4 linked regions of the Pelodiscus sinensis genome follow. The main gene of each other region encodes a partner of the protein of the gene in region 4 in a complex. Links are inferred from orthologs where the notes say so. Each region holds a gene or a part of one and is shown on either strand. Other genes may lie near its edges. The genes, in order: EIF4EBP1, TARS1, GIGYF1 and EIF4E2.

Region 1 (7,468 bases), on a different chromosome or scaffold from region 4:
ACAGCGAGGTCTTGCCAACCCAAAGTCCATTAGCAATGGGTGGAAGGGGACAGGCACCGTACACTGCAGGAACATTCTTCATACTGGCAAATCCCTCTGCCAGCAACCAAACTGGGATGCTCAAAACCATCCGCTCTGAGCTCCTCACGGACAACAGCAGTCTACAGTGGAGGTGAGGGATGCCAGTGGTGCCTCTCAGGGTCACCTAAGGACGAGTGAATCCAGGTAGAGCTCCTCTGTCTTAGTGGAGCCATCCTACAGTCAGAACTGGGGAGCAAGCAGCAAAGAAGAGCTGCCTCGCATGTGTGCAGTGATTGAAAAACCAAACTGTTTCCCTTTCTTTCTGCAGTGTGAAGATTAGCCTATTGCAGAAAGCCTATTACAGAGCCTGCAGAAGCTTGGAGCTGTGAAGAGCATCCTAATCAGTGGTCTTTAATAAATCATTCAAAACCTTATAAGCTCACTGCAATAGTACTGACAAGAGACTAAAATGACTATTTCAGGTCTAGCTCTCTCATGTTCTCTGAGAAATCACATTCCAGTATCACCCCATAACTCATTTTCACTCAAGGTAAAGGAAGAAAACATATATTGAGCTGGCTTTGAACTTACCGAAATTAGGCAAACCACTTTTAAATTACAGGACAATGCTTTCTGAAAGCCATTTGTGCTTCCAAACTTCCTCAGCACTAGACTTGGGATATGTCTGTGCTACAGACACAGCTGCAGCTATGTTACTATCGTGAAGACAGTACCCCAATTAAAGATTCTGCCTTCAATCTAACAGTGTCTCTACCAGTGCTTAGGTTGGCTTAACTATGTCCCTCAGCTAGGTCAACCTAAAGTTTAGGTCTGTAGATCAGGCCTCTAATACACCAATGGAACCGTGATAATTTGCACCAATGGCTGAACCGGTTACTGCAGATTTCTGATTTTGGCACTAAATCCTGTATTCCCCACACAGTTCCACTGAAATCAATGGAACTGTTTGGGAGATTAAAGAGTATAATATTTGGCTCTTTAAAATTAGAAATGGGTGTTCCATGCCCTATTACATTTGCTCCTTTATTCTGAAGTGCAACCTGATGTATTGTTTACAATGCTTCACTGTACACGTGTTAATAAACAGTAACATTTTGCTAAAGGTTTTTACACCTAAACCTTTCAAACGAACAAGCATTTGTTTAACATAGGAATGCACCTGAGAACTGTCTCTGCTCCTGAAAGCTTACTGAACAGTGAAGTGCAATTGCCTTTTCATAATAATTATTTGGTTTATGGATCAGCACAGGAAAGATCTGTGTGGCTGATCCGTGTTAAGAACTGTTAGTATTTGCTTAATTCAAATTTTTTAAAGGGAGATTTGAAGGAATTTTATTTTAGAGTCTATTGACAGTAGTCTTGGGAAAGAGAGATTAAAACTCCATTGTTAATCATTCTAAGAATAGCCATGGGAACATAAACATATGGTAAGTACTAACAGCAATAAAATGTAAGTTAACAGATAAAAGCAGAACTGAAGTGCGATATGGAGCTTTTAAACTCACCCTAGTTTTTCAAATCTTAAAAACAAGCACACATTAAAATATTCATTCTCTGGATTATCCAAATCACTGAGAAACTAAACAGGATTCTTGAAAATAAAGGCTATTACTAGTGATTAGATATTTTGAGAAACGTCCTCTTTATCAGAGGCAGCTGCACAGGGTAACAGGCAGCCAGTCTGTGAGGGGAGCTGGTTTTTAAACTGGCTCCCCTCATAGACCAGCTCCCTCCTGGTACCCCACGCTTCTGCCTCTAATACAGTGGCTGCCGGCCCCACCCCCGGGGACTAGAGAATAGTCAACTAACGGATAAGAATTCATGAGGTGACTCGACTATTCGATTAACCGATACTTAGCATCCCTAACAAATATACTGCAGAACATGTATTGGAAAATAATCAGTTGATCCCAATTCTCCTAAACTTGTGACAATTGTTGCAAGAGGTGCCTAATGTTTAAGAATTCCTACTGCTTGCGCTCTCAGAGCACAAAATGGATACCTAGCACAACTGAAACTAAGACCTTCAGTTTCTGTGCCAAGACTCTCTCAGGCTAGCCCAACTGTTGTTGTTGTTTTTAAACACACCCATTTAATCTTCATACTTCTGTCTTTTTTTTTCTTTTTTTAAAAAAACTACTATTGTTACATGCACCTCCTAAGGTCACTTGACATGTAATATTAGTGAAAAAAAACCTCCTACCCACTTATTTACATTGTACATTTGACAGAACTTTGAATATATTCAATTCAGGGCTGGACTTAGGGAAACAGGTGTCCTGGGTGAACCAGTGTTTGGTGCTAACCCCCGTGGGCACAGCCCCGCCTGTTTCCCTCTGGCACCTACGAGCGCCCCAGTCTCGGGACCCCCAAACTATTGCCCCCTATCCCTGCGTCGGGCCCCCTTTGTCCCCAAGCTCTGCACAGTGCTCCCTCCCTCCCTCCCTCACCCGCCCCGCGACACCGCCTCCCTGCCGAGCGCCCTACGGGCTGGGGAAGTGGGTGCACACGAGGCAGCGGCGGGCAGGCGGGGGGGGGGGCTCTAAACGGGCCCCCTGGGCGCCCCCCCAAACATGCAGCGGGGCAAGTTCCAGCAGCGGCGCGTTCCCAACCCCCAGCCCCGTCCGGCCCCTCGCGCTCCGCTCACGGCTCCGCGGGGGGGGGGGGGGGGGAGGTCCCGCCCGGGGGGCCCCGCCCCACTCACCGCCCGGCGTGGTGCCGAACACGGTGCCCCCCGGCGTGGTGCTGTAGTGGCCGGGCGGCAGCGCGGCCCCGTCGGGCAGGCTGAGGCGCTTGGCGGGGATGGCCCGGCTCGGCGTGTGGCCCTGGCGGCAGCTCCCGGACATGGCGACTGGGGCTGCCCGAGCGCCGCGCGCCCCCTGCCCCGGCCCGCGCCCGCCCGGAAGCAGCCGGCGGCCACGCCCCTTCCGCCCCGCGCACGGCACCACGGCAACGGCGGCGCCTGAGGCCCCTCCCCTTCCCCTGCCACTGGCTACTCCTCAGCCCCGCCCCTCCTCCAACTGCCCCTCCCTCCTCCTCCAGCCCCGCCCCTTCCTATCCCACTGGCTACTCCTCAGCCCCGCCCCTCCTCCAACTGCCCCTCCCTCCTCCTCCAGCCCCGCCCCTTCCCATCCCACTGGCTGCTCCTCAGCCCCGCCCCTCCTCCAACTGCCCCTCCCTCCTCCTCCAGCCCCGCCCCTTCCCATCCCACTGGCTACTCCTCAGCCCCGCCCCTCCTCCAACTGCCCCTCCCTCCTCCTCCAGCCCCGCCCCTTCCCCTGCCACTGGCTACTCCTCAGCCCCGCCCCTCCTCCAACTGCCCCTCCCTCCTCCTCCAGCCCCGCCCCTTCCCCTGCCACTGGCTACTCCTCAGCCCCGCCCTCTCCTCCAACTGCCCCTCCCTCCTCCTCCAGCCCCGCCCCTTCCCCTGCCACTGGCTACTCCTCAGCCCCGCCCCTCCTCCAACTGCCCCTCCCTCCTCCTCCAGCCCCGCCCCTTCCCATCCCACTGGCTGCTCCTCAGCCCCGCCCCTCCTCCAACTGCCCCTCCCTCCTCCTCCAGCCCCGCCCCTTCCCATCCCACTGGCTGCTCCTCAGCCCCGCCCTCTCCTCCAACTGCCCCTCCCTCCTCCTCCAGCCCCGCCCCTTCCCATCCCACTGGCTACTCCTCAGCCCCGCCCCTCCTCCAACTGCCCCTCCCTCCTCCTCCAGCCCCGCCCCTTCCCATCCCACTGGCTACTCCTCAGCCCCGCCCCTCCTCCAACTGCCCCTCCCTCCTCCTCCAGCCCCGCCCCTTCCCATCCCACTGGCTGCTCCTCAGCCCCGCCCTCTCCTCCAACTGCCCCTCCCTCCTCCTCCAGCCCCGCCCCTTCCCATCCCACTGGCTGCTCCTCAGCCCCGCCCCTCCTCCAACTGCCCCTCCCTCCTCCTCCAGCCCCGCCCCTTCCCATCCCACTGGCTGCTCCTCAGCCCCGCCCCTCCTCCAACTGCCCCTCCCTCCTCCTCCAGCCCCGCCCCTTCCCATCCCACTGGCTGCTCCTCAGCCCCGCCCCTCCTCCAACTGCCCCTCCCTCCTCCTCCAGCCCCGCCCCTTCCCATCCCACTGGCTACTCCTCAGCCCCGCCCTCTCCTCCAACTGCCCCTCCCTCCTCCTCCAGCCCCGCCCCTTCCCATCCCACTGGCTGCTCCTCAGCCCCGCCCTCTCCTCCAACTGCCCCTCCCTCCTCCTCCAGCCCCGCCCCTTCCCATCCCACTGGCTGCTCCTCAGCCCCGCCCTCTCCTCCAACTGCCCCCCCTCCTCCTCCAGCCCCGCCCTCTCCTCCAACTGCCCCTCCCTCCTCCTCCAGCCCCGCCCTCTCCTCCCAGCCCCTCCCCTTCCCATCCCACTGGCTGCTCCTCAGCCCCGCCCTCTCCTCCAACTGCCCCCCCTCCTCCTCCAGCCCCGCCCTCTCCTCCAGCTGTCCCTCCCTCCTCCTCCAGCCCCGCCCTCTCCTCCCAGCCCCTCCCCTTCCCATCCCCCTTCCTCCCCTTGCTGCCAGTCCGTCCCCTCCCCATCCCCCTGCCCGTCAGCCTGCTCCTCTCCCCTGCCCCGGCTCCTCTTGCTGCCCCAGCCTCCCCCCAAGCGCCATGTCTCCCCTCCCCTCCCCTGCCCATTCTCCCCCCCGCAGATCACCCTTCCCTAATCACTCGTCCCCCTGCCCCCACTAGCCCTCGCCCCGTGCCAGTAGGACGCGTGGCAGCCTGCTGCTACTCTGCACGCCCAGTCCGGCCCAGGGGCTTTGTAGTCCCGGCAGACAAAGCAGGGCAAGGAAGGAAATACCTTTGGGCAATATGAATCATAGAATCATAGGACGGGAAGGGACCTCGAGAGGTCATCGAGTCCAGCCCCTCGCCCTCACGGCAGGTTTGGGAGCAGCCTCCCAGGCATTGCCATGGCCGTGGGCTGGTTTGGTGGTAGGGGGCTGAGAAAGGATTTCTGCGACAGAGGTTCTCCGCCTGTCCCACAGTGTGCTCCCATGTGATGAGCGCGTTGGGACCATTTCCCCTCTAACCGTGCCCCCACTCCTGCTACCCAGCTTCCTCCTGCAGCGGGGCACTTCACACCCTGCGTCCCTCCCGAGAAGGCAGCCACAGCAAGGGTGGTCCTCCTGGGAGGCCTTCAGCACCGCTCAAGACATTTGTGCAGTGATAGAATTCACAGCCTACTCCCCTGGGCGCTTGGCGGGTGATGAGTGTCACAAACGCGTGAACCTGCATTCCCGCTGAAAGCTCACCTGTCGAGGTGACGGGAGAGAGAGGCTGACACAAAGCACCACAAATGGCCCTTTCCGGAATTCCTGATTCAATATCAGCATCGTATGGAGTCAAACAAATGCCGCGACTCACACAAAAGGCAGTACCAGAGAGAGCGCCAGTCTTTCTCTCTCTCTGCCTCTGCATTTCATACAGTACTCACCACCACACTGTAGGAGGGTATTTTACCTCTGTATTTGGCGCGGGTGGGACGGCGGCTGCAATACTGTGTCCAGTTCTGGTTCCCATAGTTCAGCACAGATGTGGCTGCATTGGAGAGGGTTCAGAGACTAGCCAGGGGAACCATGAAAGGACGAGAAAGCATGCCTTGTAGTGAAAATCAATCCAGTGGCACCTTAAAAACTAACAGGGTTATTATGGTATATGCTTTCATGAAAGCGTATGCCATAATAAAATTCGTTTTTCTGCAAGTGTCACCAGATTCCTTGTTGTTTTGGTAGAAAGTAACAGAGCTACTCTTGATATTGTGTAGTGATAGACATATTTAGTTTTAAGAATGGGAAGGTTAAAGGGTAACTTTATTACAATCTAGAAATACCTATACAGAGAACAAATATTTAACAAGGGGCTCTTCAGTCTAGCAGTGAAAGATATTACATGATCCAAGGGCTGGAGGCTGAAGCAAGACTAATTCAGACTGGAAATCAGGTGTAATGGTGAAAGCAGTTAACCATTGGAACAATTTTAACCAGGGTCTTGGCAAATTCTCCATCACTACAATATTTATATCGCGGTCCAATATTTTTCTATGATCTACTCTAGGAATTAGTTCAGAGACGTTCTTTGGCTGGCTAGCTGCTTACAACAATCCCTTTGGAATCTCTGAATCAAAAGCAGGGATCCCACAACTCTGAACACTCACTTCAGATTGGATCTGGGTCAGACCCACATTCGATTCCAAGAATTGATGCCCCACAGATCTGTTACTGACCTAGTGGTTCCTAGTTTCAAGATAAATGCTGAGCATGGCTTAATGACACTGTGATGCAGACGTGGGGTTGTAAGTGCTCTGGAGGATAGGGTCAAAACTCAAAATGATCTGGACAAACTGGAGAAGTGATCTGAGGTCAATAGGATGAAATTCAACGAGGACTAATGCAAAGTGCTCCACTTAGGAAGGGACAATCAGTTGCACACATACAAAATGGGAAATGACTGTCTAGGGTCCTGCAGAAAGATGGGGGGGGGGGGGGGGGGAGGAGAGGGCAGTGTCACAGCAGATCACAAGCTAAATACGAGTGAATGGTGCAACACTGTTGCAAAAAAGCTCACACCATTTTGGGATGCGTTGGCAGGAGTGTTGCGAGCAAGACATGAGAAGTCATTCCTCTGCTTTATCCTGCGATGATTAGGCCTCAGTAGGACTGGTGTCCAGTTCTGGGTACCACCTTTCTGCAAAGATGTGGACAAATTGGAGAAAGTCCAGAGATGAGCGACCAAAAAGGATTAAAAGGTTATTTAGAAAACTTGATCTGTGAGGGAAGACTGAAAAAATTGGGTTTGTTTACTCTGGAAAAGAGAAGATGGAGAGGGGACATGCTCCAGTTTTTAAGTACATAGATGTAGCCTAAGGTGCCACAGGACTCCTTGTTGTTTTTTGTTTTGTGTGTGTTTGAGATAGGTGTATATGCCTGGATGTTAGCATGCAGGCATGTCAGTGTATATAGGTGTGTGAGCATGCACGGACACATGGGTATGTGTGTGTGGGTGCGCATACAGGTGTGTTTTGGGTGTAACTGTGTTGTTATTGAGTTTGGTCCCTTACCGTGAATGGCTGTGCACACACAAGTCCCAGAAGATGTGATGAGCAGCCGTGTGTAAGTCTGCAGTTTTGCTTGGTGTCCGGGTATGTCTAGGATTAAAGCTTTCTTGGCGCCCCCAGGTGACTAAGATGAACAGTGTTTGTGCGTTGGAGCAAAGTCACCCCTCTTGTGGTGAGTCATTTGGCAGCCACGATCTGCAGGACCACCCTGCCACTCCGATTCCAGCTCAGCCCTTCTCCCCAAGGGGCCGGTCCATCTGCAGGCCCCCTGCCCGCCTGCTGGCACTTTAGCAAGCTGATGAAAGGTTGGCCACATGTTTGTATTCATGCAAACGAGGTGATTCGTTAAATC
Region 2 (7,668 bases), on a different chromosome or scaffold from region 4:
GGGCTGGGGCAGCCACCCCCTTTCATCTTTTCACCTGCCTGGTGATCCTGTCTCTTTTCTATATGGTTTTCTGAGAAGCAATCCTATTCCAGGCACACCCCATTTTCCTGACACGACTAGATCCTTACCTATGATAAGAGGACGTTGTATACCAAATTTGATATCCTAGCTCTTACTATTTAGGAGTTCTTGAATAGCCAGACTCTCTCTAATATATAGCTGATAATTAAATTAAGATATTTTTATGATCAACTCCTATTGAAATTTACAGACTTGTCCCCACATGTCAATGCAGGATAGTTTAAACTATGTGATGCGCTAGCAACCAATCATGCAAACATTTCATACATGTGAGTAATATTACTCATGTGCTTGATTTGTTTCCAACTCAACAAGTGTACTCACTTAGTAAAAGTTACTCTCATATTTATGTACCTACAGGATCCAGCACAAATAATGTTTTAATTTTAGAAATAGCATCTTCATAAGGCAAAGAATTAAGTTTTGAAATGAGAAAGCTGTTTAGTTTGAATCTACTATATATTTGACAGAGTTTGTCTCTGAGCAAGTGAGTCTATCTGTTCAAAGACTCCTCCTAAATGGTAAGAGCTAGGACCACTAAAATTGGTATATAGCTTCCTCTTGACATAACTTAAAGCAAGGTAAGGGTTTGGTTGTGCCAGGACAATGGATGTGCCTGGAATGCGATTGTTCTTCATAACACAGAAAGGGAGGGGCTGCTAGCAGGAATATTTATATTGTGTAATGACCACAGGGGGGAAACAAGGGACCAGAGATGGGGACCAGGACAGCTATAAGCCCATTGGGACAGCAGGAGGAAGAAGTAAGCCTCCCACCCACTTCTGGCTAGCACAGTCCCCGCCGTGGCCAGTCCTGGGAACCTGAACCCCAGGCAACATGGCTTGAGTTGGCTCCTGTGCTTTCCCACCGCCAGCCCTGAGCCCCTTCTGACCCCCCCAACTTTGAGTCCTGAACCCCTGACACCTTCAATCCCCTGCCCTGCACCCCCACACATCCCCAAGCTCCTGCCCTGAAGGACCCAAGGAATGTTAGGTAAATCTTCTGGTTTATAATAAAAACAAGATAGCCTTGAAGAAAATTAAGTTGTATTAAGAAATAAATAACCCACCATGCTAAGGACTATAAAAGATCACATATGCAAATTGCAGTAGCTGTTTCTGAAAGTGATAGCATAGATCATAGAAGTCAGTCATACCTAATTCCACAAGCAACTTGATAGGGAGTGGTCTTCCAGGATTCAGCATCAACCTGCTTGCCATCAGGTAATGTGACTTTAATGGGTTTACTGTCTTTTGCAGCTTTTTCTGCTAGAAGTGCATTATGTTCTGCTTTAAGTTTATGATACATCTCTAGGCGCTGATCGATATATTCAGGCCAAGGATTCAGCTACACATAAAAGAATGGATGGAAGGAGAAGTATTTATCAAAGACTTCCAGTTCTAATGTAAAATAAACTTGAAAATTAAGCAAAGGAAGTACATTTTCTGGAATCAGAATGTAATTGATTTTCAATGGACCAAGGAATCTAAGTCACTTGGGCCTGGGCGCTTATGACAGTTTTCCAAAGGAAGAGGGGCCAGGCTAGTTTCTTAGCAAAAAAAAAAAAAAAAAAAAAAAAAAAAACAGTTAATGCACTGCAACAACAGTTTGAGATGGACAAATTCTAACAGAGCTTAAAATATGCTGGAAAAAAAGACTGACATTATCATCACAGTAATAAATGAGAGCATGGGAAGAGTCTAAGAGCACAATACTGCAAAATTACAAGCATAAAACTTTTATACTTAAATATGCCAAGATCTCCTACTTTTGCCTCCTAGAAGTACAAATTCTGACTCAACCTTATAATAATAAATCAATCCTTCTAACATCCCAGCTAACCTGTATTGACACTCCATCTTCTCCATCCATCTTTACTTCCTTCCTTCTTCCATTTAACCTATTACCGACACTTTTACCTATTACCGACAGCGGGGATCCTCAGGAGTACAGGATCTGCCAAAAAAGCTCCCCGCTGTCGCGGCTAGACTTTACTTTCACTTTCAAAAGGGCGCTTGATCGGCACAGCACCCGAACATGAGTATGCAAATGAAGCCCAGGATATTTGAAGCCCAGACTCATTTGCACTTTCGAAGTGCTTGATTTGAATCCCTCTGTCTGCAGAAGGATGCAGTCTAAACGTAGCCTAGGTGTAGTGCACTGATGTCTTTGGTTTTTCATTCAGCAATGAAATTAAACTATTTAAAAACATATAAATGAACTGGAAATTCACCTCTGTGCAGCCTCCATCACCAGACCCTTCTTTGGTTTTCTTCTTTCCCCCTTCCTTCTTCTCTTCCCCAGCATGTATCTAAAAAAAAAGGTAAAATGAACTAATTTTATTGTACTCATCTTTCTCGAGGTCACGTTTTTACAGGTTGGACCTCCCTTGTCCAACCCCCTCAGGACTTGACCCATCCCGAATGAGGGAATTTGCAGGATATGGGGAGGTCCCTTGCCAATGGCCTCTCAGGACGCTCCCTCTCCCTGAAGTTGGCTCCGCGCCAGCCCCACTGCCACTGGGCTCCAGCCTGCAGGCCTTGGACATGGGTTCCCGCCTGCTGGAGCTCCCCAGGATGGAGCTCCCCAGCATCCACAGTCCTGCTTCTTCCCCGCCTTACTGAGGATCCCTACCTGGGACAAGGTTTGCCTATCCTGCTGCTGCCCTGCTGTCCAGAGCTTCCTGGGGACAGGGTTTGCCGGCTGGCCCACTTTTGCCACTCACCGGTCCCGTTACTGCTCTGTCCAGCCAGGGATCCCCGGGACAGAGCTGTCTAGCCTCTGTGGCCCTGTTTCTCCCCTTCCCGCCAGGGGATCCGCGCCAGGGATGGGGTTCATCGGTCCTGCTGCTGCCCCGGGGATGGAGGTCCCCAGCGTCCGTGGACATGCTTCGCTCCCACCTGACCAGGGCTCCCCAAGGATAAGGTTCACACTACAGATGTTAAATATCGGTTAACTGACTAATCGAGTAACCTTGTGCATTCTTATTGGTTAGTCGACTATTCTATAGTCCCTGGGGGCAGGCCAACAGCAGCGCAGGGTGCCAGGCAGGAGTTAGTCCACGAGAGGAGCCAGTTTAAAAACCCAAAACACCCAGCTCCTCTTGCAGACCAGCTGCTTGGCATCCTGTGCTGCTGCCTCTGATAAAGAAACAGCAATCCGGGGTGGCAGGTGAGCTCCCAAACCCAGCGCAAACTGGAACTAAGCCCGACTGCTTGCCCGCCTGGCTCCTAATACACTTTAAATGCAGAGCCACAGCGGGGGTAGGTCCTGGACCCAGCGGGAGCCGGAACTAAGCCGGGCTGCTGGCCAGACTACTAAAAAATGTAGTGGCTGTGGGGGGGGAGGGGGAAGTACTATGTACATAGTATATAGCATTAACTTATAAGCTTTTGCTTATCGGCTAGTTGACTACACTACTTCCTTTTTCTATACCCCGTAAAACACCTTGCTTATAGTTCTATGCTTTTTTTAAAGTCAGAGCTGTCCAGAGCTTAAAGTTGAACGTGGTGCATCCCATCACATTTAAATCACGGATTAAGAACCGGTAATTTAATGAGGAAAGTGAAACAACATTGGAAGAAAGGATAAAAACAGACAAGATAGTATCAGAGCTGTGTTAGTCTGAATCTGCAAAAGCGGCGAGGAGTCCTGTGAAACCACAGGCGCCACATGCATCTGACGAAGTGGGTCTTTGCCCACGAAAGCTTATGCTCCAGTTATGCTTATGCACTTCAGTTAGTCTATAAGGTGCCACAGGACTCCTCAGCGCTTTAACCGAGAAGATAGTTACTTGGTGGTTCGGTATATGCTGGTCATTTCCTGCATGCACTTTCTGGCACTGTTTCAGTTTCTTTTTTGAGTTCATCTGGCCAGATCCTGCATCAGATCAGTGCAGCTCTTGTGCCTGCACCGAGCCCCATGGACTTTATGGGGAACCAGGGCAGGAGAAGGGCAATTTAGACTGCCAGCTCTGCAGTGCAGGAAGCAGGGGGGCTGGCACAATGTGTACAGTGGGGGTGCTGAGAGTCACCGAACCAGCTGTACACCTTGAGTACAATGGAAACCACTGCAAGCCTCGGGATGCTGTAGCACTATCCCCCCAATCACACTCCCCTCCTTGCAGCCCCTATGGCAGGAGAAGGGAGCGCTGTGTGTGTGGGGGGGGGGGGACACCCGCCCCGCTGGCGCTGCCAGACCACACGCACCCAGCCACCCCAAAGGGCCGGCGGGGCTAAGACACCCGGCTGGAGCTAGAGGGCAACCGGCCACGGGGCCGGGTGGGGAGCAGAGGGAAGCAGCCAGTGTGTGACCCGGCCCCAAGGCGCAGGGGCTTTTCGGCCCGCGGTTCAAACCCAGCCCCAGGCCGGAGGGGCCGCGTGGAGAGCCCCGGAGACCGGCGCGGCGCTCACCTGGCTCCCGGCCCCCGCCATGCCGCTGCCCGTACTCGCTCCGCACGCAGGCCCAGCCGGCTCCGGCAGCTGATGCAACTGGGGGCGCGGCTGATCCCGCCTCCGACCGCGGGAAGCGGGCGGAGTTAGCAGCGCTGGGCCCCGCCTGGCTGGGCGCCGAGTGGGGACAGGGCCTGTCAAAGGGCGGGGCCATCGCTCCGCCCGGCCTGACGTGAGACCAGTGAGCTCCGCCGCGGGCGGCCCAGGACCAGCCCTCTGCCGCCTGGAGCGCGGCCCCGCCCTGCCGCGGGTGGGCCCGAGCGAGGAGCCGATGACCCGTAGGGAGCGTCGAGAGGATTGACTAGCCCACGTAGGCGGCCCTGCAACCCGCTACCAGCCATCCTTGCTGGGCTCCGCTTGCTAAGGGAGCGGCTTGAGTCCCCCCCCCCTCTGCCTTGTTCTCGCCGTCCCGGGCTTCCAGAGCTGAACTGCGATCCCAGCCCCGTTTGCTAAAAGGCCTGCCTGGCTGGTCCCCTTCGGACGCCCTCTTGCAGGGAGAGGGACTCCGGCTAGAGAGACGCGGTGGGCCTTGGCCTAATAGTTTTATTGGCCCCGCTGCTGAGAGACAAGTTTTCCTTCTCTGTCAAGTCTATCCACACCCGCCTCTTGGCTTCCGGAATGGGAACAGTCCTGACTCTCTGTTGCATCAGTTGGTAGAGCTGGCTAGGCCAGTTTGTAACCTCACCCTGGAACCTGGCTCTGTGCTGAAGACCTGAAGGAGTGCTCCCTGTGGCTTGGAAACTTCACTCTCACCAGCAGAAGTTGGTCCAATAAATGCTATTACCTTAGCCACTTTGTCTTTCTAATATCCTGAGACTGACATAGCTACAACTACTCTATGGCTGTGTCTACACTGGCATGAATTTCCGGAAATGCTTAAAACAGAATAGTTTTCGTTATAAGTATTTCCGGAAAAAGAGCGTCTACGTTGGCAGGCTGCTTTTCCGGAAAAGCCCTTTTTCCGGAAAAGCATCTGTGGCCAATGTAGACGCGCTTTTCCCGAAAAGAGCCCTGATTGTCATTTTCGCGATCGGGGCTTTTTTCCAGAAAAGACTACTGGGCTGTCTACACTGGCCCTTTTCCGGAACAGTGTTCCGGAATAAGGACTTATGCCCGAGTGGGAGCAGAATAGTTTCTCTGGAATAGTGGCTGATTTTGTACAGTAGAGCATTGTTGCTTTTCCGGAAATTCAAGGGCCAGTGTAGACAGCTCGCAGCTTATTCCGGAAAAGCGGCTGATTTTCTGGAATAAGTGGCCCAGTGTAGACACAGCCTATAAGACTAGGACTGTTCCTTTTTGAATGAGCACAACCATGGGCCTTGATTCTAAGCCCAAAGGGTGGGGGACAAAGGTGATTTACACCACTAGGATACTGGGTCTGCGAGAATGGCCAGTAGTATAAACTGGAGTGGTTCTGTTGTAATTCACACCTGAGCTGCAAAAGTCCACAAAGAAACATCCAGCAGTGTAGCTAGACTCCAGCTACACCAGTGGTCTCCAACCTTTTTAAGCACAAGATCATTTTTTGACTTTAAGTGCATCTCAAGATCTATCTCAAACCCAAATACCCTTGCCCCATCTCCTTTGTGCTCCTGCAAGGCCCCCTGCCCCTGCTCATTCCATCCTCCCTCCCCTGTCCTGCTTCACTTTCAACAGTCTGGTCCAGAGCCTGGAAGACCAATATGATGAACTGCATGTACATAGGAGTTCTAGCAGAAAAACGACAGGGAGCTGTACACGAACCTCAGTCTTCTCATACAGCAAACCCAAATGCTGGGGGACCCTGATTGACTTATTCATTTAAAAATCTGATTCCCTGCCATTTACAGTCCTTGAAGAACTCCATGGCAGCAGCTCATTACCTTTCCCAATATACTACATGACATCATGCTGCACATAAATATCCCTATATACTTCCTTTTATTTGTTTTAAACCTGCTACTTATTAATGTCATTTGGCAATACCCCCCAGTTTCTTGTGTTATGGGAACAAGTAAATAACTTTTCCTTATTTACTTTCTCAACACCAATCATGAATTTAAAGACCTCTGTCTGTCCTATTCCCCCTTAGTCATCTCTTTTCCAAGGTAAAATGTCCCAGCCTTTTTAATCTCTCCTCATATTGCAGTTGTTCCATACCCTAATCATTTTTGTTGCCCTTTCCTGAACTTTTTTATCTCATTTTTACCAATGCCAACATATCTTTTTGTGAGATAAGGTGGCCCCATCTGTACAGAGTATTCAAGATATAGGCATACCATCTATTTATATAAAGGCAATAATTGTATTTGCAATGCTCATTTCCTGATAATAGTGTAGTACTCAGTAGGCTCTATGCTTCTGTCAGAAATGGCAGACAGCAAAAAATTCCACATAGGTTTGTGAGATTTTTTTTTAAAAGGTACATAAATTATGGGATATGGGTGGCATTGCATGATGGAAAACTGACCCCTATTTCCAGAGATCCCTGAACAAGTGAATTTCCTTCCCACACCGTTCTGAAAAAAGTTCCTACGAGGAACTGCACCAGATTGTGCACCAGATAAGCACACGGATACCTACTCATGGTATACTGCATTTTGAATCAGCACAAGCATGCCACTTTTAAGGAAGTAGTGTTATTACATTGGTGTAATGGGGCATTTACATTAGCCAGAGATAGGCTTTAGTGTAGACATATGCACAAATAAGGTCCACACAAGACAAGGTATGTCAGCCTAACATTGTAATGTAGATCAGGCATGAGGGCTCAAAAGGTACCTCTTGCCCTGGAACCATAAAATAGGTGAAGGGTGGTTATGTAAGTCCTACATTGCACAGAGAATCTTTATTGTGTTGGCTGCTTTCTGGGCCCTTGCAACAATGATTTGGTGCTCTAGATTTTAGGTGTTACAGTCAGATAATAAAATTTACTGTACTAGGCAGTAGACCATGTTGAATGTTACAGACTTAATGAAAAGCTAAAAGACAAACAAAGGAGATTAACATTAGTAAACTTATACTAATCTTTATACAGACAAATAGGAAAAACAATCAATAAGGCCACTATCTAATAATTTAACCATAAATATGATCTTAAGAACATAAAATTTTTTGCAGTTTTAAAATTAAAAATGGGTTGAGAATTGCTTTGGAT
Region 3 (7,545 bases), on a different chromosome or scaffold from region 4:
ATAGCACAAATCGGAGAACTGACTGTCCCAGGTTTCCTGTATCAAGCCCAAATTTCTGCTTGATACGGAGCATATCATTTAGAAAGACACTCCCCAAACCCGATTCAAACTCCAGGAGCGGGAGAACCCACTCATCAGTTGCTGCAATGGGTCAGTTGCTGCAATAGGTTAATTTTAAGAATGTTGAAGAGCAGTTATTTGGCTAATTGTGTAGTCGATGCAATGTCAGCCCAGTAGCAGCCCCTGTTCGAGGCAGTTGGGACTGCTGCTGGAGAAGCCTCTGCCCATGGCCAGCCTGAGCCACTGCGAACAGGGACTGCTTTGCAGCACCAGCCCCTGTCTGCGAGGGAACAGGGACCCAGCTCTCCACTGGGACCCCAGAGGACAGGGACTGCTGCCAGACCAGTCTCAGCCCACAGCAGCCTCCCCTACACCACCCCCCTCCTGCTGCCTCTGACAGAAGCATCAAGGAGTGGGGGAAATGAGTAGTTGAGTAATTGACTTGACTACCTAATAAGCACAGCCTTATCAGGTAGTCGAATACTCAACTCCTCGATTATATCCCTAGTTAATTTCCCTCCCTGGTCCAAAGCTGTGACTTGTTTCTAGTGTGAATTAATCTCACTGCAGCTCCCCAGCACTGAGTCACCCTCAGAGAGCTCTCTCCCCACAATAGAGACCAGGATCAAGTCACCTTTTCATGGTCTCTTGGATTACTCCAAACCCAGCCCCAATGCAGATTTTAAAATTGCATTTCTGCCTCTCAGGGCAGCGAGATGACAACACTGAAATGCAGCATCTAAAGCTGGGAGACCAAGATCCCAGGTCTAAGCCCAGCCCTGCAGCAGAGCCCTGGTGACCATGTCTCCCAAGCTGTATTGAGGGAACAGACTTAGTAAACCACAGTCACTCTATCAAGCTGGCAGTTTTCAGGTGCCCCATTGGGGTCTAGTGGTTACACCCCTTTGACCAAGCATTCCTAGTAGTGAGTAATGTGACAGATGGCAGCAAAGCAGAGGCGGAGCGCACACAGGCTCTCATACTAGCCAGGACTTCATCTGGACCTCAGGATGACCAATGGGGAGCAGCCTGTAAGCTCTTCCAGCACAGGTTTGTATAGCACTTGTCCCAGAGGAAGCAACACCACTGCACTGGTATGCCAGGGTTCTCTCCCCAGCTCCGCCACCATCTGATTGCTTTCCCTTCACTGTGCTTCAGTTTGCCCTCACAACGTTAGGCCAAGCTATACAGGGTTCCTTGCATGCGAGGAGCCCCCTGCACAAAGGGCAGCCCCTGAGCTCACCCAGCAGGGGCCTGTGCACCACCTGGCACAACTGGGGGGCCCCTTGAGCTCAGTTGGCAGGAGGAGGCTATGCAGCACAGCTGTAATACAGGGCTCCCCCAAATCCCTGTTATTGTTATAATACAGCCAATGAATTCTGCACCTACTCTTATGCCAAGATATTTTATGCAGCGCCACATTTGTTTTCATGCTTTACACCCGCAACTCATTTTTCTGAAAGTCAGCCATGCCAGTGTTGTATAGCTCAGAAAGTTTCCTGCTGCCCTGAGCATCTACAAACTCGCTTGGGTACCTAGCCCCAGTGCAGAATAGAGCAGACACTTGAGTGGTGGGCAGAGACCCCAAGGGACCATTGTGAATATCTACTCTGACTCTCTGAAGGCAGACCCAAAGCAGGGTTTTCAGGAATACAGCCTGGAGAGTACACTCCAAAACCTTAGTATGTTGTCCCAATGAGTCATTACCCACCATGTCAAAAACGAACACCTTATTTCCAACAAGACCGTTCCCCCAGTTGGTCTTCCCAAGAACAACTTGTTCATACGTAAACTCCTTTGCCAGCTAAAAGTGTCTTTCATTCCCTCAGACAACAGCCACATCAGTGCCTAGCACAACAGGGGCCGACCCCTGATCTCATCTGGGTGGGTGGGGGTGTGCCTATGCAACATGTGGCACAACCAGGGACCACAATCTCAGTGCGACACCCAGCAAAACAGGGGACGTGATGTTTGATGTAACAGGCTTGGGGCTTTTCAATTCCATTGGCATCTCAATTCTTTCAGTAAATCCCTGCAACTATAGGTGAGACCTAGAAATTCATGCAAGAGCAAGGAGCCAACACATATCTAGGCAAAAAGGCAGAGGCTGGCTAGACTGCCAGTTGTGCAGAAGGGCAGCAAGACAACCAGCACCCACGACACACGTCCCTGCAATGGAAGGTAGCTAGAGAAATACCCCACACACACAGCCTGGGAAAGGGAGCCTGAACAACAAGAAACAAGGGGGCTTCTGAGGCCCCCCACAACGAGTCCCTCCCCCCAATTTGTCCACCAGCCCTGGAATGGGAAAGTGGGGTAACAAGAAAAGTTTGACACAGCAATGTCTGGGCCAATTCTACAGCCACAGTCAGGAAAGGGGACCAACCCAGAAGATCAATGCACATCCCTGGGCAGAGGGGAACCAATGCACAGCACTTGGGGGGCAGAGGCGCATCCTTGAGGGAAGGGGGCAGGCAGGGGTCTGCACAGCATCCGCAAGGAGGCAGCCCCACCCCTAGCACTCCACTTCCAGGAACATTTGCGTAGGAGGGGGGTGAGCCGGGACAGCACCCCCACACCCGAGGGCTGGCACCAAACACCCCTCAGCCGATTCCCCCAAGGGTTCCCCCTTCCCTGCCCTCCCGATGGCACCCCACTGTCCGCCTCCCAGGGCTTTGCGGGCATGTCGAGGAGGGGCCGCCCCAACCCCTCCGCGGGGCCCGGCCCGGGATTTCTAGGGCCCCCTCCCCACGGTATCTCCATAGCGACGGGCCGGGTAAGGAAGGGCCCCGTGTCTCACCGCGGCGCCCAGCGGGGGGCGGGGCCTGGCGCGGAGGGGGCGGGGCCTAGCCGCGCGCGCGGCAGGAAGGCGGGGGGGGGACTCCGGGTCTCTCGCCGCCGCCGCCGCCTATCGCCGCTTGTTTGTGTTTGTACCAAGATGGCGGCACGGAGCCCCGTCACGTGACGAGGGAACGCGGAGGGGGAGCTCAAGGGCCCACGTGACACAGGAGCTCGGCCGCAGGAGGAGGGTGTCACGTGATGGGGTGGAGCCCGCAGAGGAGGGGGAAGCGCGGGAGCCACATGACAGGGGAGAAGCCAAATTGCCGCCCGGCTCGCGTGACCCCGCGCTTCGCTATGGCCGCGCGCGTATCTCTCCTTCCCCACCCCCTCCCGGCGCCACCATAGTCCTGCGCAGGGAGGCTAAAGCAGCCCCCGCGCCACAGCGTCACGTGACGGACGACGGCCTTGGCCCGACGTACTACCCAGGTCACGCGTTCGGGTCACGTGACGATCCCTTCACAAAACGATGGACCCCCTCCTTAGAAGACGGTGACGTCACCACTCTCCCGAACTGTGAGGTCACCAGTCGGCTTTACCACCAAGACCTGTGGTGCAATTGTCACACACTGTGTCCATGTGATGTCACTACGAGCCCTATGACATCATCAATCTCACGTGATGTCATCACATGGCTTTCTGCTGTCACTGTCCTGCCCTGTGATCTCATCTGCACCATGTCATTGCTTCACCAGATAACGTCTCCAGAAGGCAGTGTGATGTCCTTGTGTCACCTTGCGATGTCAACCCCAGCCCTGTGTTGTCACTATCTCAGCAGCTGCCATTGTGTCACGCTGCCTCAGTAAATAGGGTTACCAGATGGCTTAACAAAAAATACTGAACACCCCCCCCCAAAAAAATAAAACACCAGGGAAAAATTCTATTGAGAAAAAAAAGGGGGAGACCAAAGTTGTTGAGCAAAAAAATTTTTTTTTAATTAAAAAAAAAGTGTGACCCCTTTAAGAAATTCTTTTGAGGCTTTTTGGCCCTAATAGGCTGCTGGCGGCCACCCACCATCTTGTCTTCCTGCTCCGGGCCGGACAGCTCCCCTGCGGAACCTGGTAAGCACCTGGGATTTTCGCCTTCTGTCCGGGAAAAAAAAATCAGAAAATACCAGACATTTTAGGTGTCTGGTATTTTCTGAATTTTTTTACTGGACAGGAGGTGAAAATACCGGACGGTCCGTGTCAATACCGGACACCTGGCAACCCTATCAGTAAAAAGTGCCACCACCTGGCCCCGCTGCCTAGGTCACTATCTCAGGACACTGAGTTATTCCTCAGTCTACCATAGCCCCACATACTCCTCCTGGCAACTCCTGATGGTGCATGATGATATTGTGGCATTATGCTGCAATGTGAGACTATGATGTCACCAAATGCAGCCACAAAGTCACTGGGGTGTCCAGTGACCAAACACAGCTTCCAGCATATCAACAGCAGAAGGCCCTGATGTCAAACACAATGCTGAGAGGTTACATCTACCCTACGATATCATCAACGGAAAAACATCATCCCACAGTGCACCTGTGACAACACAAGACCATGTTGTCATTGTGTAGGAACATGATGGCATCATCTCACATCCAGGCACCACGATGACCATCATGACTGTGGCTGGAGTCTCTTTGCCTGCTTGCAGAATCAACTAGCTTGTTACATCACATCTCCACATTCAGGAGAGAGAACCCAGGAGTCTGCCTCCCTGTTCTACCCACCAGCCTCCACTCCCCACTCAGAGCTGGACAGAAAACCCAGGAGTCCTGGCTCCCAAGCCCACAGCTCTAACCGTCCAGCCCCCTAGAAAGATGTAGAAAGGAGGAATAATAAACACCGACAAAAAATGTAACTGGATCTTTACTGGGTGATTTTGAGTGGAGCTGCCAAAAGTTACTCACATTATTCAGTGAGGGCAGAAAATGGAGGTTTAATAATTTAGGGGTTGCTGGAATGGCCAGGGCTATTGTAGCTGGAGTGCAAGAGAAACAGAGAGGGGCTAAGTGGTAGCTCCCCCTGCCCTGTCCCCCATGGGCTCCAGAGGAATGTGGAATCAGGAGTAGGCCGCATGTTCCAGTCCCTGCTAGGCTGAGGATCCATTGGGATCGGGGTCTCCTTCGACTTGCCCCTCATCATGGGGCTGGCGCTTGGCGAAAGTGCCCTTGACTGATCCCTCCACAGCGGCTTTGAGCTGGTTGGGGGACAGAGGCAGCACGTCAGGGACACACCCCACACCATCACCTCTCAGCCCCCAAATCCCTGAACCCCCTCATTTCCCATAACCCCCACCTGCTGCCCCGGCTCCTTCCTTGAATTTCTTGAACCCCAAAGACTCTCCCTGACCCAGTAGACCCTGCAACCTGCCCCCTATGTTCCTCATGAGCTCCCTGACCTCTCCAGGATCCATGCAACAGCCCTGTGCTCCCCACCCCATGCCCCCCTGTGCCTCCCACCCTTCAGCCCTACCTCTCGGAGGCTGACCACACCAACCAGCTGGCCCATGTTGGTGACGTATGCTGTCCGCAGTCCCAGCAGGTTAAAGAGGTCATAACACTGTGGAGCAGAAATGGGTGTGTGCATGTCAGGAGACAAACTGAGGAGGGGAGGATGGATCAAAATAGGGTAGGGTTAGGGATCAGCCCTCACTGAGACTGCAGGACAGTGGGGCTGGGGGGGGGGGGGGCTCTTGGCAGCAGGTGGCACATTATCAGGGGGTGACAATGTGGGGATTCTATTCGCTCTGTTCACTTTGTTATGTTGCATGTGATTTCCATTGTCCTGTACTGTTCTGTAGTAACTCTGTGTGTGCATGCTTCAGTTTCTCTAGGCACTGCACCAGTGCCCCGATGGAGATGGGAATTTTGGGTGTGACTCTCACTGAGGGGAGGCTGCCCCAGGCTGCCCAGGCAAGCACATTCACAATGGCCAAGAGTCCCTGGAACATGAGGTGAAAACAAGGGACACCTTTTGCCTGAGAAGCTGGACAAAGGAGGAAGTGGGACTGCCAGTAAGGCAGGGACCAGTAGCTAAGTGTGTGAATTAGTCTCTGCTGGCTTAAGAGACAGGGAGGGGACCCAGGGCCCTGGCTCTGGGCCTCCCTCTCCCTAAGACAAATTGTATTGGCTGCTTCTGGTTCCTGGGGTAACAAGTCTGTTTTACAATGTGTCCCTGTGAACTAATACATTATCTGTTCTACCTGCTGGCGGAGAGTCATGTCTGGCTGCGGATGGGGATTCAGGGCCCAGTGGCTCCCTGTACCTCAGTGATGGGGAGGGGGGCAGGGGGGAGAGGACCAAAATGACATGCAAATGAGTATTGCTTATTGAGTATGCAAATAAGTCTCCACTTATACTGTTCATATGCAAATGAGCAAGCAACTCAAATGTGCAGACAGTGCTCATTTGCATATGCAAATGCACAACCCCTCCCACCTAAGTTTCCAGTAAGCTGCATGGCTGCATGATGGCATAGCTGTTTTCTGAGCTCTGCTCAGAAGTTTAAAGCTCTCATGCAGGCAAGAAGCTCAGCTGACCGGCAGGGGAAATATGTCATCTTGCTGAGCAAACAGTTAAACTGGGCTGTTCCATGCTTGAAATGGAGCAGCTCCCAGAGCAGGTAATAAAAAGTGAGATAAGGAGACAATAAGTGACTGGGGGGGGGGAGTGAGTGAGTGGGTGGGTGGGTGGGTAATTGGCTGAAGTGGAGTCAGAGCAGAGGAAAGTTTGGAGAGTCCAATCCGCCCCAGGAGAGAAAGGCAGGAACTCAGCACTCTCAAGCCTCCTGAGAAAGGAGATATGGGGCTGGCTGCATAAGATGAGTGTTTGTACCAGAATACTTGCATGGCTATGTCTAGACTGGCATGATTTTCCACAAATGCTATTAACGGAAACGTTTTTCCGTTAAAAGCATTTGCGGAAAAGAGCGTCTAGATTGGCACGGACGCTTTTCCGCAAAAGCACTTTTTGTGGAAAAGCGTCCATGCCAATCTATATGTGGTTTTGCACAAGAAAGCCCCGATCGCCATTTTCGCCATAGGGGCTTTTTTGTGCAAAACAGTTTTTAGCTGTCTACACTGGCCCTCTTGCACAAAAACATTTCTGGAAAAGGGCTTTTGCCCGAACGGGAACGTCAAAGCATTTGCGCAAGAAGCACTGATTTCGGACAGTAGAACATCAGTGCTTTTGCGCAAAATCAAGCAGCCAGTGTAGACAGCTGGCAAGTTTTTGCGCAAAAGCAAGTGCTTTTGCGGAAAAACTTGCCAGTCTAGATGCAGCCGCATGAGTACATTTCAAACAAAGTTTACCTAGGTGTTAATGGCTTAAGGTAAGAATAAAAAAATCTATTAAAATATTTTATAAGTGTTGCATATATCTAAAACTCTGAATTTAATTATTTTTTTAAATCCTGTGTTGCTAATTAATACATGAAAAATTGTATTGCATTAAGGCCAGATCTTTGCTATGTGGTAGAGTTCTGGAAGATCGCATCTTCCCATCCTGATTGCATATGCAAACTGACATGCCAGACCCTCCCACCTGATTGACTATGCAAATTTACTAAGATCCACCACCAAATTTAATATGCAAATATACCTGCCACCTTCTCCCACCCTAACTGCATGCACAAATGGATGTCAGCCCTTCCTTCCCTA
Region 4 (7,214 bases):
AGGTGAGTATCTATTGCCAGACATAAGGAGGAATGGAAATGCTTCTTACATGCCATTACTTTCAAGCTGAGGGAGTTCTGTTTCCACTGCTACCATCAGTGAAGGCCCCACCCCTAGAACAAGGCAGGCAATGCTGCTTCCTGGTCTCTTTTAGGGCTGTCATCTATTGTAGGTGAATCAGAAGCCAACACTATGGCCACAGCAGATGAACTGTTTTCCTTTATGTTTTGTGAAAGGTATATAACCACAGAGAAAAGTCTACTCCCAGAACCTGCCCTATGTTTGGTCACTAAAATGGAACAACTGGAGTGTACTCACCGAGGCAAAAGTGCCAATCTGTTTGATGTTCTGTTCGTAGCTCTGAGAGCTGGTGGGTCTCCCAGGTGTTCGTCTGGAGTACCAGAACGTATAATTATACTGCAGGGGGTGCTCAGCCGGCCCTGGGACAACAGCCTGGGGAACAGAGAAGCTCATTTATCCTCTCACATGTCTCTCCAGGGAAGACTGAACAAGTAACATTCATAGCATTAGAAGCCCACACCATTAGACGCTCCCAATGTAAGATGAACGGTGTACCTCATTTTCCTAGAAAAATCTCATCTCACGTTAATAGCTTGACACAGACCATTAGTTTGACAGCAACTGACTAGATTTCATATCGAATATTAGACAGCCCTAGCACATTTGTTCCCCAATCTGGTAGGACTAGGTGCGCTAACGATGCTGCTGCTTACTCCCAAGAGGAACGTCTCTCAATAGAAAGTCCTCCTGACGATTGAGGAGCATTAACTCTGCATTAAATTCTCTTTAGTCCCTGGCAGCAAAGAAACGCAGACCATTTAAAAAGCCCACAGCTGATGTGGGAAAGTGATGGGAAGCTCCCCCACACCAAGACTTTCCAAAAAGCTGTCTGGGGAAGAGTCCAGCTTTGCTTTCCATCTCCATATGGACCACAATTTGCTATGCAAAGAGTTCTGGCTGCACTAGCAGAGAAAATACTTCAGCTTGGCTCATGTTCAGGTAACTCAAAGTCTATTTAACATGGCTCCCCATCACAATGCTATCACAGCACTAAGCCAGGACAGTATTCCTAGATATACTCCATACACTGAGACACATTGACCACAAGCAGATGCCAGAATTTCAAGCCTAAAATTGTCCCTTGATTATGGCAGGAGATGTCAAGAACTCACCTTCCTCTTGGTGCTACTCTGGGATTTGTCACGATCATTTTTCTCCTTCTCACCATCTTTCTGTGTGCTGTTCTCTTCGTTCTGGTCATGGTCCCCACTATCATCATCTTTCAAACTAACAAAGGCAAGGGACAAAGAATGAGCTTTATGGCTCCTGGCTGAGGTGCCATCCTACAAAATCAGACTTACATTACTTGACCCCTCCTCCAAGACACAAACCACTGGCAGAAAGGAGTCTATGTTGGAAGTCTACTGACGACAGATTCTTACACACGAGAAAGCCTACACGCCCTACACCTGTCTCAGACCACTTGGCCTACAGGCACCCCAAACTTAAGCATCAACTCTTAACAGGGAACTAAGCAAAGATATTTATAACATACACATCACTAAGGGGCCTATTCACCAACTAATACTGACAGCAATCAGCTAAAGAAGGGAAAAGAGGCCAAGTTCCTCAAGTCTCAGAAGGATAGCTGTGTTAATCTGTAAATTTAAAAGCAATGAATAGTGCTGTGGCACTTTAGAGACTAACAAAAATATAAAGACTCATGAGCTTTCATGGGTAAAACCCACTTCATCGCAAGAGCTCATGAGTCTATATATTTTTGTTAGTCTCTAAGGTGCCACAGGACTACCTGAGTTTCTAAAGGTATGTATACACCACAAATTCTACAGTGGCACACCTGCAGCTTTGCTGCATAGATACTTAGAGCCCTGCAAATCTGTGGACACCCACTTTATATCCACAGAGGTGGATGCAAATATCTACAGATCATTTTCGCAGCTGCAGATACAAATTAGGTATCCAGGCCAGGCTCTATAGATACTTACTGCAGCAATAGAAAGTGTTTTTTCCAATCACTGGAATAAATCTACTCCTTCAGGTTAATAAAAGAATTTTTCTGTCAACTTAGTGGTATCTACTCTGGGGATCGGGGCAGCATAACTAGCGATGTAAACTGTGGGTTAACCAGTTAAAGACTACGTCTAGCCGGTTAATCCTGGAGCAGCCCCCTGCCTGCGCCATGACGCTGTGAGTCAGGGGGAGAAGGAGGCCTGCTATGCTGCGCCACAGGCAGCGCTGCTCTGGCTGGACCCCAATTAGCCAGTCAGTAGGTAAGCTTACCAGTCAGGCTGATGCTCACCGGGTAACTGGTTAACCCTTTGCATCCCGAGCCTTCACTACAGCTCTCCAGGAGGTGACTTTTCCAGCCCCCGGGGCTGCCCTGCGCCTGGGCCCGCAGGGCGTGAGCGAGTCGAACCCCAAGGCGGATCTTGCACGGAACCGGCCTCCCAACGCTCCCGAGACCGGCACCGGGGCAAAGACCGGAGCGAGCCTCCGACCCGACACGCGCCTGGCGCGGGCTGCTGGCCCCGTCCCAGAGCGGGGGGGAGGGGGGTGACAGAGTCACGTGGGGCCTGGGGAAAGGCTCGTGGGGGGGCTGGGAACGGGCCTTGCCCGGGGGGGGGTCACTCGAGACAAGGCCCAGCAGCGCCCCGAGCCGCCTGCCCGCCGCTCCCGGACCCGCTCCCCGGCCAGAGGGAGCCGGGGCCCCCCCGCGCGTCCCGGTGACTCATCGCGTCTCGGGGCCCCCGGGGGGGGGACCGCGGCGCCGGGCCGGTCAGTCGGGCCGCAGCTCGGGGGGGGGGGGGCCTCAGACTCACGCGTCGAATTTGTTGTTCATCCTCGCTCGCCGCCTCCGCCCGTCTCTCCGGGGAACTTCCGCTCCGCGCCAGCCACCTTCCGCCACTTCCGGGCACGGAACCTGGCAGCGCGGCCGCGGGTTTCCGCCCGGCGCCATGGACGCGCGGGCCGTTCTCGCGAGACCACGCAGGGCGTCACAGCCACGGGTGGCCGGGCCGCCATCTTGAGCGTGGCGCGGTGGGCGGGGTTAGCCCGCGTGAAGGGCTCGTGCCCCGCGGGGTTCAGCCCCCAGGCACGTGGCGTCGCAGCGCCCATCTCCCACCCGCCACGTGACCCCGGGGCGCCTCAGTCCCATCAGCCCCCTCCCCGCCTCCCCCTCCTGGCCAGCCCCTTCCATCCCCCCCCCCCATGGCCAGCATCTTCCATCCCCCCCCCCCATGGCCAGCATCTTCCATCCCCCCCATGGCCAGCAACCCCCCCCATGGCCAGCATCTTCCATCCCCCCCCCATGGCCAGCATCTTCCATCCCCCCCATGGCCAGCAACCCCCCCCATGGCCAGCATCTTCCATCCCCCCCATGGCCAGCAACCCCCCCCCCATGGCCAGCATCTTCCATCCCCCCCATGGCCAGCAACCCCCCCCCCCATGGCCAGCATCTTCCATCCCCCCCATGGCCAGCATCTTCCATCCCCCCCATGGCCAGCAACCCCCCCCATGGCCAGCATCTTCCATCCCCCCCATGGCCAGCAACCCCCCCCCCCATGGCCAGCATCTTCCATCCCCCCCATGGCCAGCATCTTCCATCCCCCCCATGGCCAGCAACCCCCCCCATGGCCAGCATCTTCCATCCCCCCCATGGCCAGCAACCCCCCCCCCCCATGGCCAGCAACCCCCCTCCCCATGGCCAGCATCTTCCATCCCCCCCATGGCCAGCAACCCCCCCCCCATGGCCAGCATCTTCCATCCCCCCCATGGCCAGCATCTTCCATCCCCCCCATGGCCAGCAACCCCCCCCCATGGCCAGCATCTTCCATCCCCCCCATGGCCAGCAACCCCCCCCCCATGGCCAGCATCTTCCATCCCCCCCCATGGCCAGCAACCCCCCCCCATGGCCAGCATCTTCCATCCCCCCCATGGCCAGCAACCCCCCCCCATGGCCAGCATCTTCCATCCCCCCCCATGGCCAGCAACCCCCCCCCATGGCCAGCATCTTCTACCCCCCCCATGGCCAGCAACCCCCCCCCCATGGCCAGCATCTTCCATCCCCCCCCATGGCCAGCAACCCCCCCCCATGGCCAGCATCTTCCATCCCCCCCATGGCCAGCAACCCCCCCATGGCCAGCATCTTCCATCCCCCCCCCATGGCCAGCAACCCCCCCCCCATGGCCAGCATCTTCCATCCCCCCCATGGCCAGCAACCCCCCCCCCCATGGCCAGCATCTTTCATCCCCCCCATGGCCAGCAACCCCCCCCCATGGCCAGCAAACCCCCCCCCCATGGCCAGCATCTTCTATCCCCCCCACCCCCATGGCCACCATCTTCCATCCCCCACCAACGCCCATGGCAAGCATCTGCTCCCCCCAACCAGTAGGATGTATTCCTGTAGGTTTCCTCGAATAGCATCGTGTTAAGATTAATCAGTCTCCGAGGGGCAGGCGAGTTAGTCTGTCATTTTAACAACAGCGAGTGGTCCTGAGGCACCTGAGCGACTAACCAAAATAGATATCTATCATGAGCTTTCGTGCACACAACCCATTTCATCAGATGAAATGGTCTTGAAGAAGAGGGTTTTGCCCAAAAACGCTCATGATACTCTTTATATTTTTGTGAGTCTCTGAGGTGCCACAGGACGACTCATATTTAAAAGTTGTTTTTAAAGGTTAATCACTAATTCCTAGAGATGCCAGGACAATCCTAGAGTGTTGGCAACCCTGCCTGTATGTGTCCCCTAGTACCTCTCTCACACAGCACTGGCTGACACCGCTCCCCCGCCATCCACACACCCCTGTCTCCCACAACCCTGTGGGCAGGACCTGTCAGTAGAATGCTAACAAACACCTTAATCTACTTCCACACCCTTGTGTCTGGCCCTGATACAAAGTGGCAGGACTTTTACCATCTGTAGAGGGTGAAGGGTCCCTGACAGACCACTGTGTTTCATGTTTGGTCCAGGGGTAGCTGGGGCTTCGCGGAGCCAGGGTTATGGGCCTGGTTCACCATAGCCCCAACACCTGGCCATTCTGCAGTTCCTGGCAGGGGAAAAAAACAGAAAATACCGGATATTTTTAGGTGTCCGGTATTTTCTGAATTTTTTTCTTTACCAGACAGGAGGTGAAAATACCAGACACCTGGCAACCCTATTTCCCCCGCATTTCTTCAGCTATGCCCACCCCATCTGTGGGGCTGCAGGGAGCCCTTCTTGGGTTGGCTAAAACGCCCATTTACCAAACCAGGAGCAGGAAGTGCAGCTCGGAGGGTCTTTGCTACTGGGGCATGCATCGCGGTTCCTTACTGCTATGCAGGTGGTCTCTCCTGACTCCTTCGCGCAGCAGTGGGTGCTCTCCAGGGTTCTCTGCTCAGGATCCCTGTTTGCTTCCCCTATTTTGAATCTTTGACTTTCACTTCTGTCCTCTCCGACCCGCATCTGTTCTCTTTTCAGGCCCTGAGGTCCTCCCCAGATTGAGAAGCAATTAATTTGTTCTAGCTATAATTAGGCTCCCTGTTTTAGGATGCAAATCAGCCTATATTACCTGGCTGCAGTATGGGCCCCTGGGCAGTTGGACTAGTGTAGCTGCACCTGGCTCATGTTCTCTTCCTGCCCTTGAGGGCTGGCATTGAAAAAGACAGACCTAAATGTTCAAAGACCTGAAGCAGGCACTCCGACCACATGGTGCTGCCCTACATGCCTGTTCACTTCTAATCTCTCTTCCCCCTCTCAGCCCTGGAAGCCCTTCTTGGAAGTTGGGTTCAACACCAGAAAATATCAGATCACTTATTGAGGGGCTTAAATTTCTGCTCCTGGGGAGCAAATGCCTGCTGCCTTCAGGCTGACACTGGCCCCACGTCAGGCTTCTATATGGTTACAATATTTGCTAGCATAACAACTCAGGCCAGAACAAAAGACAGGACTATGCAGCACTTTAAAGACTAACAAGGTGGTTTATTAGGTGATGAGCTTTTGTGGGCACCTAAAACACCATCTTGTTAGTCTTAAAGTGCTGCATAGTTCTTTCTCTTGTTTCAGCATGATCAGACTAACACGGCTACATCTCTATTACAACTCAGGCCAGAAACACTTAAGCATGATTTTCTCAACCTCTTCACTTGAATTATCCAACAGCCAGATGAACTCTGCTAGATAATAAAGATTATCTTTGTTTTTCTTTCCAAATTCCATTTTATTTAATGGGTGTGTAATCTAATGAGTCAAGAAAATATATTTTTTTAAAATCTTATTTTTAATGAACAACCATGGCCATTAGATGGCGACATTGGCTTGCAATTACACTGACTATTATAACTGCCTATCTGGAGTAATGTGCAGTTCAGAGATGTTCCATTCACCAGCAGAAATTGGTCCAATCAAATATTTTACCTTACCCACCTTGTCTCTCTGAGAAGCCTTTTAAGAGCAGCCCTGGGTTTGGGGTAGCTCTGATGAAATTAGGGTTGTGTGAAACACTAATTTGGTTTGGTTTGGTGGCAGATCTGGGAGGAAAAATAATCAGGAACAGAATTTTGTCTCAGGGTAAGCTGAAATGAAAATGTGGAATTTTTGACAAGCTGCAATGTCTAAAAAAAGTTTTGTTTCACATCGCCCAAAATGAATTTTTTTTTTATTTCAATTTTCAGGCCTATTTTAAATTAAAAAAAATAAAATAAAATGGAGGGCATTGCCAAAGCAAAACACCTTTCCAAAACAAAAAGTCAACACATTTTTTTTTAAATGCTGAACAAACTCTTTTGACCTCCAGATTTTGTTTTAATTCTGACAAAAACAATGAGCTGTTCTAGACCCAGATCTGCAATTTGTGTTCATCCGCCCAAATCTTCAGTTTGCAATGGAAAAAGATTTTGTAATGGGAATGATTTTGCCCAGCAGGGGTGGATGAGAGTTTTGCGGGGCCCACAGCATGGGACCTATTGAAGCACGGGACCCAAGGCAGCACAATTTTGCCAACAGGTAGTAACGCATGCACGGGGCCTATTGAAGCGCAGGGCCCAGGGCAGCCGTACCGCTCGCCCTGCCTTATATCCGCAGCTGTTGCCCAGCTCTCCTTGTGCTGTCTTGGTCGCATATTTTGAAAAGCACCCCTGAATGCCCAGACTTCTGCTGACATTTTGGGTTCTTGGTGCTTCTGAGAGACACAGAG

What was found.
Region 1: the proteins of EIF4E2 (region 4) and EIF4EBP1 are in contact, whole or in part, in a crystal structure (PDB 5NVN), measured with the Homo sapiens proteins. The link is inferred for Pelodiscus sinensis from reciprocal best matches to the Homo sapiens genes EIF4E2 and EIF4EBP1. Residues at the interface, in NP_004837.1 of Homo sapiens: Glu53, His54, Pro55, Leu56, Gln57, Tyr58, Tyr64, Arg66, Lys83, Gln84, Ile85, Gly86, Val91, Glu92, Gln93, Trp95, Arg96, Phe97, Ser99, His100, Met101, Val102, Leu107, Phe113, Glu149, Asn150, Leu153, Gly157, Glu158, Gln159; in NP_004086.1 of Homo sapiens: Arg51, Ile52, Ile53, Tyr54, Asp55, Arg56, Phe58, Leu59, Met60, Cys62, Arg63, Ser65, Val67, Thr68, Lys69, Thr70, Pro71, Pro72, Asp74, Leu75, Pro76, Ile78, Pro79, Gly80, Val81, Thr82, Ser83.
Region 2: the proteins of EIF4E2 (region 4) and TARS1 are in contact, whole or in part, in a crystal structure (PDB 5XLN), measured with the Homo sapiens proteins. The link is inferred for Pelodiscus sinensis from reciprocal best matches to the Homo sapiens genes EIF4E2 and TARS1. Residues at the interface, in NP_004837.1 of Homo sapiens: His54, Pro55, Leu56, Gln57, Val91, Glu92, Phe94, Trp95, Arg96, Glu149, Asn150, Leu153, Leu156, Gly157, Glu158, Gln159, Met161, Val203; in NP_001245366.1 of Homo sapiens: Pro51, Glu52, Tyr53, Ile54, Tyr55, Thr56, Arg57, Met60, Tyr61, Ile63, Leu64, Glu67.
Region 3: the proteins of EIF4E2 (region 4) and GIGYF1 are in contact, whole or in part, in a crystal structure (PDB 5NVK), measured with the Homo sapiens proteins. The link is inferred for Pelodiscus sinensis from reciprocal best matches to the Homo sapiens genes EIF4E2 and GIGYF1. Residues at the interface, in NP_004837.1 of Homo sapiens: His54, Pro55, Leu56, Gln57, Tyr64, Lys83, Gln84, Ile85, Gly86, Val91, Glu92, Trp95, Arg96, Phe97, Tyr98, Ser99, His100, Met101, Val102, Arg103, Leu107, Phe113, Ile137, Arg138, Leu139, Arg140, Gly142, Leu143, Ser145, Arg146; in NP_001362694.1 of Homo sapiens: Leu36, Ala37, Asp38, Tyr39, Arg40, Tyr41, Gly42, Arg43, Met46, Leu47, Leu49, Tyr50, Glu53, Asn54, Lys55, Val56, Pro57, Glu59, Leu60, Glu64, Phe65, Ala67, Val68, Leu69, Gln70, Asp71, Glu72, Pro73, Leu74, Gln75.

What each region holds. Positions count from the first base shown.
Region 1 is NC_134738.1:15,247,695-15,255,162, reverse strand, and holds the start of EIF4EBP1 (eukaryotic translation initiation factor 4E-binding protein 1), read right to left. Parts: upstream 3,005-7,468; 5' UTR 2,889-3,004; coding exon 2,747-2,888; intron 1-2,746. UniProt on the Homo sapiens protein: Repressor of translation initiation that regulates EIF4E activity by preventing its assembly into the eIF4F complex: hypophosphorylated form competes with EIF4G1/EIF4G3 and strongly binds to EIF4E, leading to repress translation.
Region 2 is NC_134716.1:107,887,917-107,895,584, forward strand, and holds the start of TARS1 (threonine--tRNA ligase 1, cytoplasmic), read right to left. Parts: upstream 3,011-7,668; 5' UTR 2,969-3,010; coding exon 2,807-2,968; intron 2,393-2,806; coding exon 2,315-2,392; intron 1,429-2,314; coding exon 1,238-1,428; intron 1-1,237. UniProt on the Homo sapiens protein: Catalyzes the attachment of threonine to tRNA(Thr) in a two-step reaction: threonine is first activated by ATP to form Thr-AMP and then transferred to the acceptor end of tRNA(Thr).
Region 3 is NC_134734.1:8,963,625-8,971,169, reverse strand, and holds the start of GIGYF1 (GRB10-interacting GYF protein 1), read right to left. Parts: upstream 3,008-7,545; 5' UTR 2,861-3,007; intron 1-2,860. Other genes in the region: chloride channel protein ClC-Kb-like, read right to left, coding at 4,978-5,085, 5,361-5,447. UniProt on the Homo sapiens protein: May act cooperatively with GRB10 to regulate tyrosine kinase receptor signaling. May increase IGF1 receptor phosphorylation under IGF1 stimulation as well as phosphorylation of IRS1 and SHC1.
Region 4 is NC_134720.1:49,306,354-49,313,567, reverse strand, and holds the start of EIF4E2 (eukaryotic translation initiation factor 4E type 2), read right to left. Parts: upstream 3,015-7,214; 5' UTR 2,999-3,014; coding exon 2,862-2,998; intron 1,309-2,861; coding exon 1,194-1,308; intron 454-1,193; coding exon 319-453; intron 1-318. UniProt on the Homo sapiens protein: Recognizes and binds the 7-methylguanosine-containing mRNA cap during an early step in the initiation. Acts as a repressor of translation initiation.